Linked DNA regions of Sus scrofa. The protein of the gene in region 1 interacts with the protein of each later gene in a biochemical or structural test. Links are inferred from orthologs where the notes say so. Each region holds a gene or a part of one and is shown on either strand. Other genes may lie near its edges. The genes, in order: CRYAB and CS.

The links.
Region 2: the proteins of CRYAB (region 1) and CS form a complex in vitro, tested with the Homo sapiens proteins (3 studies listed by BioGRID). The link is inferred for Sus scrofa from reciprocal best matches to the Homo sapiens genes CRYAB and CS.

Annotation. Positions count from the first base shown.
Region 1 is NC_010451.4:39,639,376-39,645,510, reverse strand, and holds the start of CRYAB (alpha-crystallin B chain), read left to right. Parts: upstream 1-2,071; 5' UTR 2,072-2,348; intron 2,349-2,532; coding exon of another isoform or gene 2,533-2,626; exon of another isoform or gene 2,627-2,762; intron 2,763-3,508; 5' UTR 3,509-3,523; exon of another isoform or gene 3,524-3,613; 5' UTR 3,614-3,706; coding exon 3,707-3,907; exon of another isoform or gene 3,908-4,437; coding exon of another isoform or gene 4,438-4,484; exon of another isoform or gene 4,485-4,993; coding exon 4,994-5,116; exon of another isoform or gene 5,117-5,394; intron 5,395-6,135. Other genes in the region: HSPB2 (heat shock protein beta-2), read right to left, coding at 1,617-2,071, 2,533-2,626. UniProt on the Homo sapiens protein: May contribute to the transparency and refractive index of the lens. Has chaperone-like activity, preventing aggregation of various proteins under a wide range of stress conditions.
Region 2 is NC_010447.5:21,696,735-21,702,842, reverse strand, and holds the start of CS (citrate synthase, mitochondrial precursor), read left to right. Parts: upstream 1-2,279; 5' UTR 2,280-2,285; coding exon 2,286-2,327; intron 2,328-2,475; exon of another isoform or gene 2,476-2,490; coding exon of another isoform or gene 2,491-2,557; intron 2,558-3,416; coding exon of another isoform or gene 3,417-3,511; intron 3,512-6,108. UniProt on the Homo sapiens protein: Key enzyme of the Krebs tricarboxylic acid cycle which catalyzes the synthesis of citrate from acetyl coenzyme A and oxaloacetate.

The DNA.
Region 1 (6,135 bases):
GTATCGTGGGGTCCACAGATTCTTCTTCTTTCCTTTGCTTTTTAGGGCCATACCCGGCTCATATGGAAGTTCCCAGGCTAGGGGTTGAGTCGGAGCCACAGCTGTCAGCCTATGCCACAGCCACAGCAACATGGGATCTGAACTATGTCTGCGACCTACACCACAGCTCGTGGCAACGCCAGATCCTTAACCCACTGATGGAGGCCAGGGATCGAACCCGAGTCCTCAAGGTTACTGGGCGGATTCATTTCCACTGTGCCACAACCAGAACTTCTCCACAGATTCTTAAGAGGGGCATATAAGTGGATCTCAAGAGCTGTGTGAACCTATTCAAATTGCATGACAAATTTGGGAGCATGTGTATGTTTCTGGACAAGGATCTAGTGCTTTTGTTAGATGTTTCAAAAGGGTCTGAAACCCCCAAAAAGTTAAGAACCAACCACTTCAGAAGTTCCTTGGTGACTCAGCAGGTTGAGGACCCGGCGTTATCAATACTGTGGTTTGGGTTGCTGCTGTGGTGAGGGTTTGATCCCTGGCTGGGAATTTCCACAAGGCAAAAAAAAAAAAAAAAGTATCTACTACTTTAATGGAAGAATTTCAGGTGTCCATCACACCATATAGATTTATATTGGGGCAGGGAGGTCTTCTGGACACTCCAAATCATACACACACATGCTTTCTTGATTATAGAGAGTAATTAAGAGGTCAATCCTCCAGGCTGTCCCGAATACACCATTCCCGTCGTATTAAGACTCCTCTTACAAAGGAAGTTTCCCTAGCCGTCACCACTATACCAACAGCCCTAGATCCCCTGCATTTAGTCTTGGATTGGCTGCAGTGGTGCAGTGACTCCTCTCTTTGGGATGATACAAGACTAGAAACAAGTGCTTTCTCTCATAGGCAGAGAGGAGGGAGACTCTGTTTTGGTGACAATGGCAGAGGCTTCTGTGGCAGTGCCCCTATGTCTACATAACTGATCCCTCAGAATCGGAGACCATTTTCAGTGGACAGATCTTAGTGTGGGAAAACAGGGCCTTAGGCAACACAGAAGCCAAAAGCTGTTTTCCCAACCCCTACCCAAAACAGGCCAGACAGTCTGGAGACCCTTGTTTTTGTGTCTCTAATCACCAGCTCAGACAGTGCCCTCTGGGCTGTTTGGATGGCATATCCCTTTTCCCTCCCAGGATCACTCTCTTTTGTTGCATTGTGAGAAAATTACGGCCAGGAATTTGATCTGGAGCCAGTGTCAGCTTCCGGGTGTGATCTCAGCATCCAAGTGTGAGCTCAGGGTGCTGTGACGTTGGGTACATCGAACTGAGCAGCTTTTTGTCTAGCTGTCCTTTTTGTCTTTCCCTCCCTGCCCATCCCATTGTCCAGGTCACAGAATAGGGAGCAGCACAAACCAGGCCCTGAGATTTGGGTTTATTCAGCTCCACCCTAAACTAAACGAAAAAACGCTATGACACGTCCCAAGGGACCAAACCATACATTGTGGACCATGCACTTCACCCTTCCCCCAAGGATGCTGCTACCTCTAGGGTGGTGGGCAGCTGCTCCGTATCACCGTGGGGGCGGGGGCTAGCAAGGGGTTCAACTGGGTGCTGGGTCTGTGACATTCAGGGCTCAACGCCGGCTGCCTCCTCCTCTTCCTCTGGATCAGGAGGTGCAGGGAGCAGGGAGATGTAGACCTCATTGACCTCTGTGTCCAAATGTCGGCCACCCCGAGGCGCCTCCAGGTTGAGGATGCCGTCATGGGAGAGCGCGGCGCGGACGCGCCAGGGGTCCACATCCGCAGGCAGGACGTAGGTGCGGCAGAATTCTCGGGACACGAAGCCGTGGCGGTCCAGGCGCTGGGGGTGCCGGGCAGACACCTCCAGCAGGTTGTCCACAGTCCTCACGGTCACCTCATCTGGGGTGAAGTGGCTCACATCCAGAAAGGCCTGGAACTTGCCCTCACTAAGCCGAAGCTCCGAGGCCCCCGCCCTGCTGCCCTCCGCCGCTTGGGCTGCCCGTGGCCGGACGTAGTAGCCGTGGTAGAGGGTGGGGGTCAGGATCTCTTCTGGCAGGAGGCCTGGGGGGCAGAGGGGGAGAAGGAGAGAGGCGGGATGAGGGACGAGGGGTGGGAAGGAGGTGAACTCTGGGGAGATCGGGGGTGAGGCCCGGGGAGCGAGGAGGGGAGAGTCGGAAGAAGCAGGGGAGGGAGGGATGACAGGGACTGGACAGAGGGGACTGAGAAGGGAAATGGGGGCGGGGAGCAAACCTAACGCGATCTGGGGGGTCGGAGGGGAAGCCCCCACGCCCAGGCAGACGCGGCAGGTGTCAGCACCGCGGGCACAGCCCGCACCAAGGTAGGCAGGAAGGGGAGGGAGCCGAGCTTAGAAGGGGTGGGGTGGGGGGGTCTGGGGTGGGAGACGGCTCGCCCCAGGAGTTCACTTAAGCCTGGAGTGGGGTGGAGGCCAGGATCTTTGGGAGGTCAGCCCAGAATTTCAGGAGGTGGGGGTGGGAGGCAAGGGGGTGGTGTCCGGGCCGTACCTTCCCCGAAGCGCTGCTCACCCAGGCGGCTCGGGTTGGCAAACTCGTACTCAGTGGTGGCCGGGTGGGCATGTGGCACCGAGCGGCCCGACATGGCTGCAGATGCGGCGGCGGCTCAGGTCCGAGGTGCGGCCCCAACAGTCGCAGCGGGACCCCTCCAGCTGCCGCCGTAGGGCCAGGGTGCGTTCGGAGTGGGGGCGGGGTCTACACCACCCAAAATAGTGCCGAGCCTGGGGGGAGGGGCGAGGAGCGCCCGCGACGGCTGTGTGACCCGCGCCGCCTGGACCCCCGTCCCCTCCCTAGCACACTCTTCAGCTGTCACATCCCCGCCCCCTCCCTCCCCCCTCCCCCGGGACAGCTGGGGGTCCTGGCCGCGGAGCGAGCTGGGCAGGGGAGGCTGGTGCGGAGGTCCGGGAAAGGCCTCGCTGAGACCCTCGCGAAAAAGGGTGTACATTTCCACACCCTCCTTCTCCTCCTCACTTGCAGGCAGCAGGCACCCTACTCCATAAAACTCCCCTGGATTTAAGGTTCTGCCAGCCACGTAAAGCGAAAGATGCAAACAACTTTCTGCCCTTTCTTTGGGGGGTGCGGTGAGGGGCCTTTTGGTCTTGACATATCAGGGGCCTCTCTGAACCGGGGGCAACCCAGAGCACCACACGGAAACCTGCCATTGACATGCTGGTGATCACTGCTCTCCTCCAGGGCCCCACAAAGAGTTAATGTCCCTGGGGCCCAGCCTAGGAAGATTCCAGTTCCTGCCCAGGCCCAAGATAGTTGTTGGCCCCATTCCCTTGGCATGCTGGACTGGAGAGGAGGAGGGGCCCGCTGCCCGCCTGCTTGGGATTCCTGACTGGGTCCCAACTCCAGGGAAGGGGATGGGGGAAGGGTGCCATTGGGTGTGGACAGAAAGCTAGTGAAACAAGACCAGGACAAGCCACTGGCCAGCTCAGACGTGTCTGTATTTCTCTTTTCTTAGCTCAGTGAGTACTGGGTATGTGTCACACTGCCAAATCCCCGATCACAAGTCTCCATGAACGGGTGGTGAGCTGGGATAATAAAACCCCTGACATCACCATTCCAGAAGCTTCACAAGACTGCGTATATAAGGGGCTGGCTGGAGCTGCAGCTGAAGGAGCTGACCGGCCAGCTGACCCTCTACATCCACCCAGCCGCCATGGACATTGCCATCCACCACCCCTGGATCCGCCGCCCCTTCTTTCCTTTCCACTCTCCCAGCCGCCTCTTTGACCAGTTCTTTGGAGAACACCTGTTGGAGTCTGATCTCTTCCCAGCTTCTACTTCCCTGAGCCCCTTCTACTTTCGGCCGCCCTCGTTCCTGCGGGCACCCAGCTGGATTGACACTGGGCTCTCAGAGGTAAGTATCCCCTCTGCCCCGACAGGAGAGTGCATTCTGGAGCCTCCTGGAAGCGTCCCCATCCACTTTCCTCTTCCTCCCAGCCTAAATGTGGCTGTGTCTAAGGGTCTCAAGGGTTTTAGGCACTTGTGTGTCCTGCAGTGGAGAAAGATGGGGTTCCTAGTTCCTCCCCTCCCCCCCACGCAGGCACCTGTTTGGATTTGACGCCCCTGTGTATTCCACTTCTTATATTTTCCCCGTGTGCTACAAAGGTCATTCTCTATCCTCTTCTTCTAAGTAGGGTGTCCCTTTCCAGTTTGGTTCATAATGATCTACAGTGCAAGGGCTGCCTTCAGACTCCTGCTCACCTCTTCTAACACCTCACACTCCTCACAAATACTATCATTTCAAGTTTCAGAGCCAGGAGACAGTCCTACCTCATCCCTGCTGCGTGCAGCTGGAGACAGCAACCACTATTGTCTTCCACTCCCTCTTCTGTGATTTTCCAGGTTTCTCAAGGCTGTGACAGGGCACTGGCCTGGGTCCGAGGCTCACGAGGAAAGAATATAGGTCCAGTTTTCTGACCCCCCAACTTGTCCTAGGAGTGTGGGAAAATGAGGGGAACAGATAAGGTTGACAGAAGCTGTCACAGATAACACTCTGGTTTAAAATTTTTCAAGTGTAAATAAACAGGAGCTGAGTGGACAAGGGCTTTGGAAGGACAATCAGAGCCAGCAGAACATTCCAGATTGAGTGGGTGGGAAACTTGGCAGAGACCTGAGCAAGAAGAAGCAGCCTTTGTACCACAGACAAATGACAAGGCCAGGCATTGGGTCAGAGAAGCAGCAGAAGCCATGCCCAGACCCATCCTTGCGATTTATCCCCTGAGTGGCCTTTTTCCCTGTAAATAAAGTTTGGGCCTGATGACCAAGTGGTGTGCCCCCTGAACCAGAGAACCATGTTTATTCAAAAAAGGATTTTTAGCTTAAAAGGGGAGGACCAACTACCCGAGCAGAAAGCAAGTCTGCAGAATGATGAGGCTGTATTAGTGTAATCCCCATTCTTACCACTTTTTCTGCTACCCCTGCCCCACCTTGCTGTTTTTAGATGCGTCTGGAGAAGGACAGATTCTCTGTCAACCTGGATGTGAAGCACTTCTCCCCCGAGGAACTCAAGGTCAAGGTGTTGGGAGATGTGATTGAGGTGCACGGCAAACATGAAGAGCGCCAGGTATGTAGCTGGCTTTCTTTTCTGCTCATTCACCCAAGGTGTACATTGTACCAGATGCTGCCATGAGCCTCTGAAGCTGGCAACATTTCAGTCCTAAGCCATAGAGTCTAGAACAGGGATAGATCTGTTGTTATTGTTATTTTGGCTAGAGAAGTGATCTTTGTTTTGACTTGACTGCCTTAGATAGGATAGATGGAAGGTTAACTTCTCATTTAAGTCAGTGGCTCTCAACCTGGCCATGTTAGAATTACCAGCGGAACTAAAAAAAAAAAAAAAAAAAAAATCCCAATCCTCAGGCATATCCCAGGTCAGTTACATCAGACATTTTAGGGATGGACTCGGGCATCAGATTTTTTTTTTTTTTTTTTGGTCTTTTTAGGGCCTCACCTATAGCATGTGGACGTGCCCAGGTTAGGGGTCAAGGCTGAATTAGAGCTGCAGCCCCTGGCCCACGTCACAGCCACAGCAAGCCAGATCCAAGCCATGTCTGCGATTTACACCACAGCTCACCACAGTGCCGTATCCTTAACCCACTGAGTGAGGCCAGGGATAGAATCGCATGTTCATGCATACTAGTCGGGTGGTTACCGCTGAGCCACAATGGGAACTTCCAGGCATCAGATTTTAAAAGCTCCCTAGGGAATTCTAACATACCAACAGTCAAGGTTAAAGACCACTGATTTAGGAATAGTGATTGTCAGAGATCTGATTGCTTTATATAATTACCTTAACTGCTTACATCTGGAAGGCCCTGGCATTTGGGACTTTTAGATGTTCAGGAATTCATTTCTCTTTAGCTCATCTTAATGTGAACTACTTGGTTTGCCTAGATTTCAGAGCTATACTCAGCTCCTAATACATGAGACCTATGTGGAAATCAGTTAATTGAGAGCCTGTCTGGATAAATGCTTGAGATACAGCAGGGATTAGATTAACAGTTAACTAACCTGTAGCAGAATTATAAAGACTGGAATAGTTTCTCATTACTCTCTGGGAGAGTTTTTCAATGAGTTTGCTTC
Region 2 (6,108 bases), on another chromosome or scaffold:
AGTATGCTGGCTAGTCTCTGTGGATAATTAACCAGAGAGAAGAAACCAGGTCAGACTCTTCCAGAGTTAGGAGGAAAACTTCTGTGAGATGCTAAATTGGGAGCAGATATTGATCAGTGGAGCTTTGAAGTCACCGAATTGATAGCTGAGGTCAGTCCTCTGAGGCACTGCTGGGCTCTTCTTTATGAAGTTCTTTGCTAAGACCTACCTCACCTCCAAGCCAGAGGTGCATTGGTTGGTAGGTGTAACGCTGAGTACCAGGAAACTTGGGAAGAGAAAATGGCATTCTTTCTCTTTTTTCCAAGTCCAAGCTATAAACGAGGTTCTTTATAAACTGGGTCTATCTAAACCTGGCTTAGATGGTACTGAGACCTCTGAACTTTGATACTGCTGTGTGAGGAGATAAAAGAACTGTTCACTTGGGGCTGGGGTTTGTAGATAAAGTGCCTTAGTCCTTGGGTCAGTTCCCCCCTGCCCTCAGGTCAATGACAATGAAAGGCCTGGGGAGGTAGAAAGGTCCTAAGTTCTTGTCTACCGAGAGGAATTAGTTAAGAATGATATGAAAGCAGTTTCCATCGTGGCGCAGTGGAAAAGAATCTGACTAGAAACCATGAAGTTGTGGATTCAATCCCTAGCCTTGCTCAGTGGATTAAGGATCTGGCATTGCCCTGAACTGTGGTATAGGTCACATATGTGGCTGGGATCCCGTGTCATGTGGCTGTGGCATAGGCTGGCGGCTCTAGCTTTGATTCAACCACAGACCTGGAAACCTCCGTATGCCTCGGGTGTAGCTCTAAAAAGCAGAGGAAGAAAAAGATAATGAAAGGTCATTTTAGTGCTATGGTTCATTTATAACGGTCTCTGGGGAGCATGATAAAAAGTGTATAGAAGACAGCCAAATAGGTGTAAAGGTCCGGAGGTCCTATGGGAGTGACAGCAGTGATGTGACAAAAAGGGAGGTGATGAAGTTCCATTGTGGCACAGCAGAATAAAGATCCAGTTTGTCACTGCTGTGGCACGTGTTCATCCCTGGCCCAGGAAATCAGGCTGCAGGCCTTGGCCAAAGGGGGGGGGGTGAGGTGATTTTTGTTGCGGGTTGGTTTTTGACGCCTCAACTTTTTTTTTTATAGTCACACCTGTGGGTTATGGAAGTTCCTGGGCTAGGGGTGGAATCAGAACTGCAGCTGCTGGCCACAGCAATGTTGGATCTGAGCTTCTCTCATCTGTGAACTTCCCCACAGCTTGAGGCAGTGCCAGATCCTTAACCCACTGAGCGAGCCGGGGATAAACCTGCATCCTCATGGACACTATGTCAGGTTCTTAACCCACTGAGCTACAGTGGGAACTCCAAGCTCATCTTTCAGCTAGATAGATGTGGGGTGGACTGGCTGTGTGGGGTTATGTGACTGGAGTGGCACTGAAACTAATGATCTGTACCCAGAGGGCCTGACCTGCACCGGAAGCCTTCATATTAAGGGGGCCTAGTAAGATTTGGATTTCTTGGCACTAGACACAAAACTGAGAGTCCGCAAAAACCACTGGATATTCAGGGACCTACCTCAGCTTTCCTTCTCCACATTCTGGGGTCTGTTGGTATCTACAATGCCATGGCTTCCGCTTGCCTCAAATGACCTCCACCAAGTAGCTAACTCTAACATCACTGCCTCTGTCCACATTGTATCACCTCTATGGCCATTAAGTCATTGACCAAAGACACTGTTCAAGATAGCATGCCAAAGAAGTAGGACCACTTGCATTGATAGTGTATTAAGGGGTTGACTTCCGAGGACCTTTAAAAATCGAAGTCCTTAGCGCTTTTTCACTAAAAGCCATCTCAGAATTAACCCCAACTGTGGATAAGGGTTAAGGAGAAAGCCTAAGAAGGAAGTTAACTGGGGTCTCAGGCACATACTTAGCCACCTATACGCTTCCCCCCGCCCTTACACCCTTAATTAGCCTACCTCGGACGGTCCAATCCTCCCCATCACAACTGCTGTCAACGGCTTAGGGCCCGCCCCCCACGCAGGCCGGACCAATGGCCGAGCCCGGAGCAAGCCCTTGAGAGGGGGCGGGAGCGGGTTCCGGGCGGTAGGCGGGGCTTCCTTGAGGACCCCGGGCTGGGCGCCGCCGCCGGCTCGTCTACCCTTTCCCTCAGCAGCCTCCTTTCAACCTTGTCCCCCCCCCAAGCCAGCGCGGCTTCTGGGGCAGCGGCGGCGGCAGCTCCCGTTCCTGCCGCATTTCTCTTCCCTCCTTCCCTCCCCGCCAGATCTCCGAATTCGCCTGCCATGGCCTTACTCACTGCGGCCGCCCGGCTCTTCGGAGCCAAGGTGAGTAACTAAGGGAGGGAGCGCGCCGTCCTGGGGTGGGGCTGAGGAGACTGCAGGCCCTCAAGCTCCGGGGTCTCCCTCCCCTACCCAGACGCACTCCAGCGCGTCTTAAAGGCACCCTGCGCTTGGCTGGCCGCCAGCCCTGCCTGGAGCTCCCAGGGCCATGTGCTTCGCTGGCCTTCCGGCCCCTGGGGTGAAAGGAGTGCTACTCGCCCGGCTTGCGGTCTTGGGTGGGTGGGGAGGCCGGACCCTACTGTCACCTCGCATGTCTGGAGCGGCGGGGTCGGGGGTGCGGGCGGATGCTTGGCCTTGGAAAAAGGAGCCGCTAATGCAGAACATAGGTGTTGTGTTCCATTGGAGTTAGGAAAAGAGCCTGTTTGGAGGAGGGGGCGGGGTAAGACAAGTGGCCGCGGTAAGACAAGCGGCAGGGGTGAGCAAGTGTGCTCACTCTATCCCTGGACCAAAGCTGGAGCAGTAGCTAATTTCGGCTTCTGCTTTGTAGAAAGGGCCTTGTCAGTTTCTGAACTGCCTGCTTGCATTTTTCCACCCAGTTACTTTAGTGATCAAGCCGTAGCAGTCCTTGCTAGAGGAATGCGACCCTGGGTCCTCTTTGTCCTTGGAACTCTTGTACTTTTTATGTAGGAGGAGCTTGGGTGGGTGGAGCGCCTGTGTAAAACCTTCTTCATGATTATCACATATGATTGGAGAAAGAACCGGAAAAGTTATTTGCCCAAACTGCAGGCTAAGTGAAGATCCAGGGCAGAAGATAGTAATTCCAAGGTTACATGACTGGTCCTCCTACTTACTCACTCAGGTTTTGTTATTAGTTCGCTCTACCTAGGAGAGGTTCTTCTTATTCTGTGGGGTCTTTTACTTGACTTTTGCTACCCCTGGGACCATAGGAGTATTGTTGCAGGTAATGGTGCTTTCAATTTCATATTGCCAAAATTACTTTTGTCGCTGGGTAACTTGACCCTTTAAACAGAGAAACTGCTGTGCTGAGGGGAGTCCCAGCCTTCTAATCCAAGGAGGGACAGTTCCACAAGTGACCTTGACTCCTGCAAAGAACTTATACTTTCTCTTTTGCAGACAGATTAAAGCTGCCAGCACCTGAAGGGAAGGAAAGGAAAACTTTAGAATGGTGTTGGCTTACTGTGTGTTATCTTGCATGGCTGGCAGACAAGGTGAGGCCTATAGGATTTACACTGGGGTTCTTTCAGGCACTCAGCAGCAGAGTGGAGGCTGATCATTTGGGAGATACATGTCTTATTTGACAGTAGTTCTCCCACTGCCAGAGAACAGGGTAAGGAAGCCTCTTGGGAAATGAAGCAAGTTCTAGATAGTGTTTTGGCAGAATACAGGACACTATAATTAGCTCATTCCAGAGCTGCTAACCCAGACCAGATTGTCTAACCCTAGGGTGAGTTTGAAAAAGCTTTTAGAATTTAGATTTGAATTTATTTTGTCTCCTAAGCCTCTGGAGAAACTCCGAAAGCTTTTGGGTTGACCAGGTTACCTAATTATAGTGTCATTATTGTTTTGTTTACTTTCCTGTTAAAGATGCACCTAAGGATTCCAGAAACCTGTATATTGGAAGCCACTAGAAGGCTTTTGACCCTTAAAATTAACAAAGCCCAATAGTCTGAGGAGTGGAAATTTCCTGAGATCTAAGCAGTATAGCCAGGATATCAAAAAGCCTTTCACTTTGTCAGCATTGCCAGCTCCTGCCTGAGCTTTGCAGATTATCCTGTGGCTTAATTGGTACTCAGTTTTACTTTTGCTATTAAGGTAGGCTTTAGAAGGCAAAAATAGTCTTTTAACCCCAGAAAACTGACCTCTGCCCACTTTAATTCTCAGGGTTAGGTGTGGTTTCACTTTTTCTGAGAAATTTTTTTAATCTCACTAGCAGACGCAAATGCCAGTCATTGTTTTGTCATTCCACCCTACCCCCGTCAGGTAATTTAATCAACATTTGAGTTGGAGAGACCACCTCTTCAGAGCCTTAAATTATTTGACTTCTTGTTTATTTGAATGAATTTCTACCAGGCAGTGGCTTTAGAATTACATGTGGGTGTCTTAGCTTTGTGCTGTAAATACTGTCTTTTCATAGGTGATTTAGGTTGGGAATTAGAGTAGGGCCATCAGTTAACTTCTGGATTCTTTTTATTTATTTATTTATTTTTTTTTTGTCTTTTTGCCTTTTCTAGGGCCACTCCTGCAGCATATGGAGGTTCCCAGGCTAGGGGTCAAATTAGAGCTACAGCTGCCGGTCTACACCAGAGCCACAGCAACTCCGGATCCGAGCCGCATCTTCGACCTACACCACAGCTCACAACAATGCCGGATCCTTAACCCACTGAGCAAGGGCAGGGATCGAACCCGCAACCTCATGGTTCCTAGTTGGATTCGTTAACCACTGCACCACGACGGGAACTCCAACTTTTGGAGTCTTAATGCCAGAGTGACTTTACCAACCTTAGTTGCTGCTTGTACCATTGAGATTTGTTCCTCTGAGCTAGGATGTTTGGTAACTGAGTAAATCAATCCAAAAGTGTTTTTAGATTATTTCTAGACTTTTTCATGACATTTAAATTGATACTCATGATTCCTTTACAGTAGACCTACACCACTGCTGAACACCTCTTACATAAATCCTAGTCTGAAATTGGGTTCAACAAAACTGAGTCATGGAATTTCTGTTGTGGTACAGCGGAAACAAATCCAACTATGAACCATGAGGTTGCAGGTTCAATCCCTGGCCTCACTCAGTGAGTTAAGGATCCAATGTTGCCGTGAGCTGTGGTGTAGGTCACAGACACAGCTCAGTTCTCGTGTTGCTGTGGTTGTGGTGTAGGCCGGCATCTGTAGGTCTGATTAGACCCCTAGCCTGGGAACCTCCAAATACCGTGGGGTGCAGCCCTACAAAGACAAAAACAAAACAACAACAACAACAAAAAAAACTGAGTCAGTTTTGTCCTGTGAAATGTTAGGCTTAGAGCCCCAAACTTTTAAGAGCAAGCAATCAAATCATTCATCTTTTTCAAGCACTTGCCTTCACTTTATCAGCCTACCCAAAGTAATGGCGATTTCTTGATGCCTACTAGATGGACCAAAGATGAAAAGTGGAGAATAAAGCCTCATCATGTGCTTTATAGTGTTGGTATGATTGCATTTGTTCTTCCTAGTGGTCTTTAGATTGGTAGCAGGTGAATGCATGGGTGTGGGGAGGCATCGAGGTGAGTAGTGGTGAAATAGATAATCAGAGGAGGGAAGGCTGGCATTCCTCATTCTGAAATCCAGGTGGGCAGAAGGCAGGAAAGCAGACTTGGTGGATTTCCCTAAAGCCACAGAGTAATTCCTTCTGCCCTGTTTTCAGTGCCTTATGTGAAAGAGTTGAGTAGGATTTGAGTGAAATTTAAAACAGTAGTGAGGCAACTTTAGCAGTAGATCTTAGGATCTCTTTCAGTTCTTCCCTCAACTACCCTAACTGCTATATTTCTTTTAACATCTTATCCTTTAAAAAGGTCTGTAAGTTCACAGTGGGCATCACCACTTGGGGTGCTTGTTAACGTTGCACATTTGCAAATCCTCCTTCAAATTTTGATTCAGTGAAGGTGGGATGAGATCTGGAACTTGTATTTTTTCAGGTGCCTCTGTTGGCTGAGATGTTTGGTGATCCCCGACTCTTGAGCCAGTAAACCAACATTCAGTCCTTTTGACAACTATATTTAATGTATATGAAACTTTGAGTGTTGGAGCCCTTTTTTTAAATTTTTAAAAA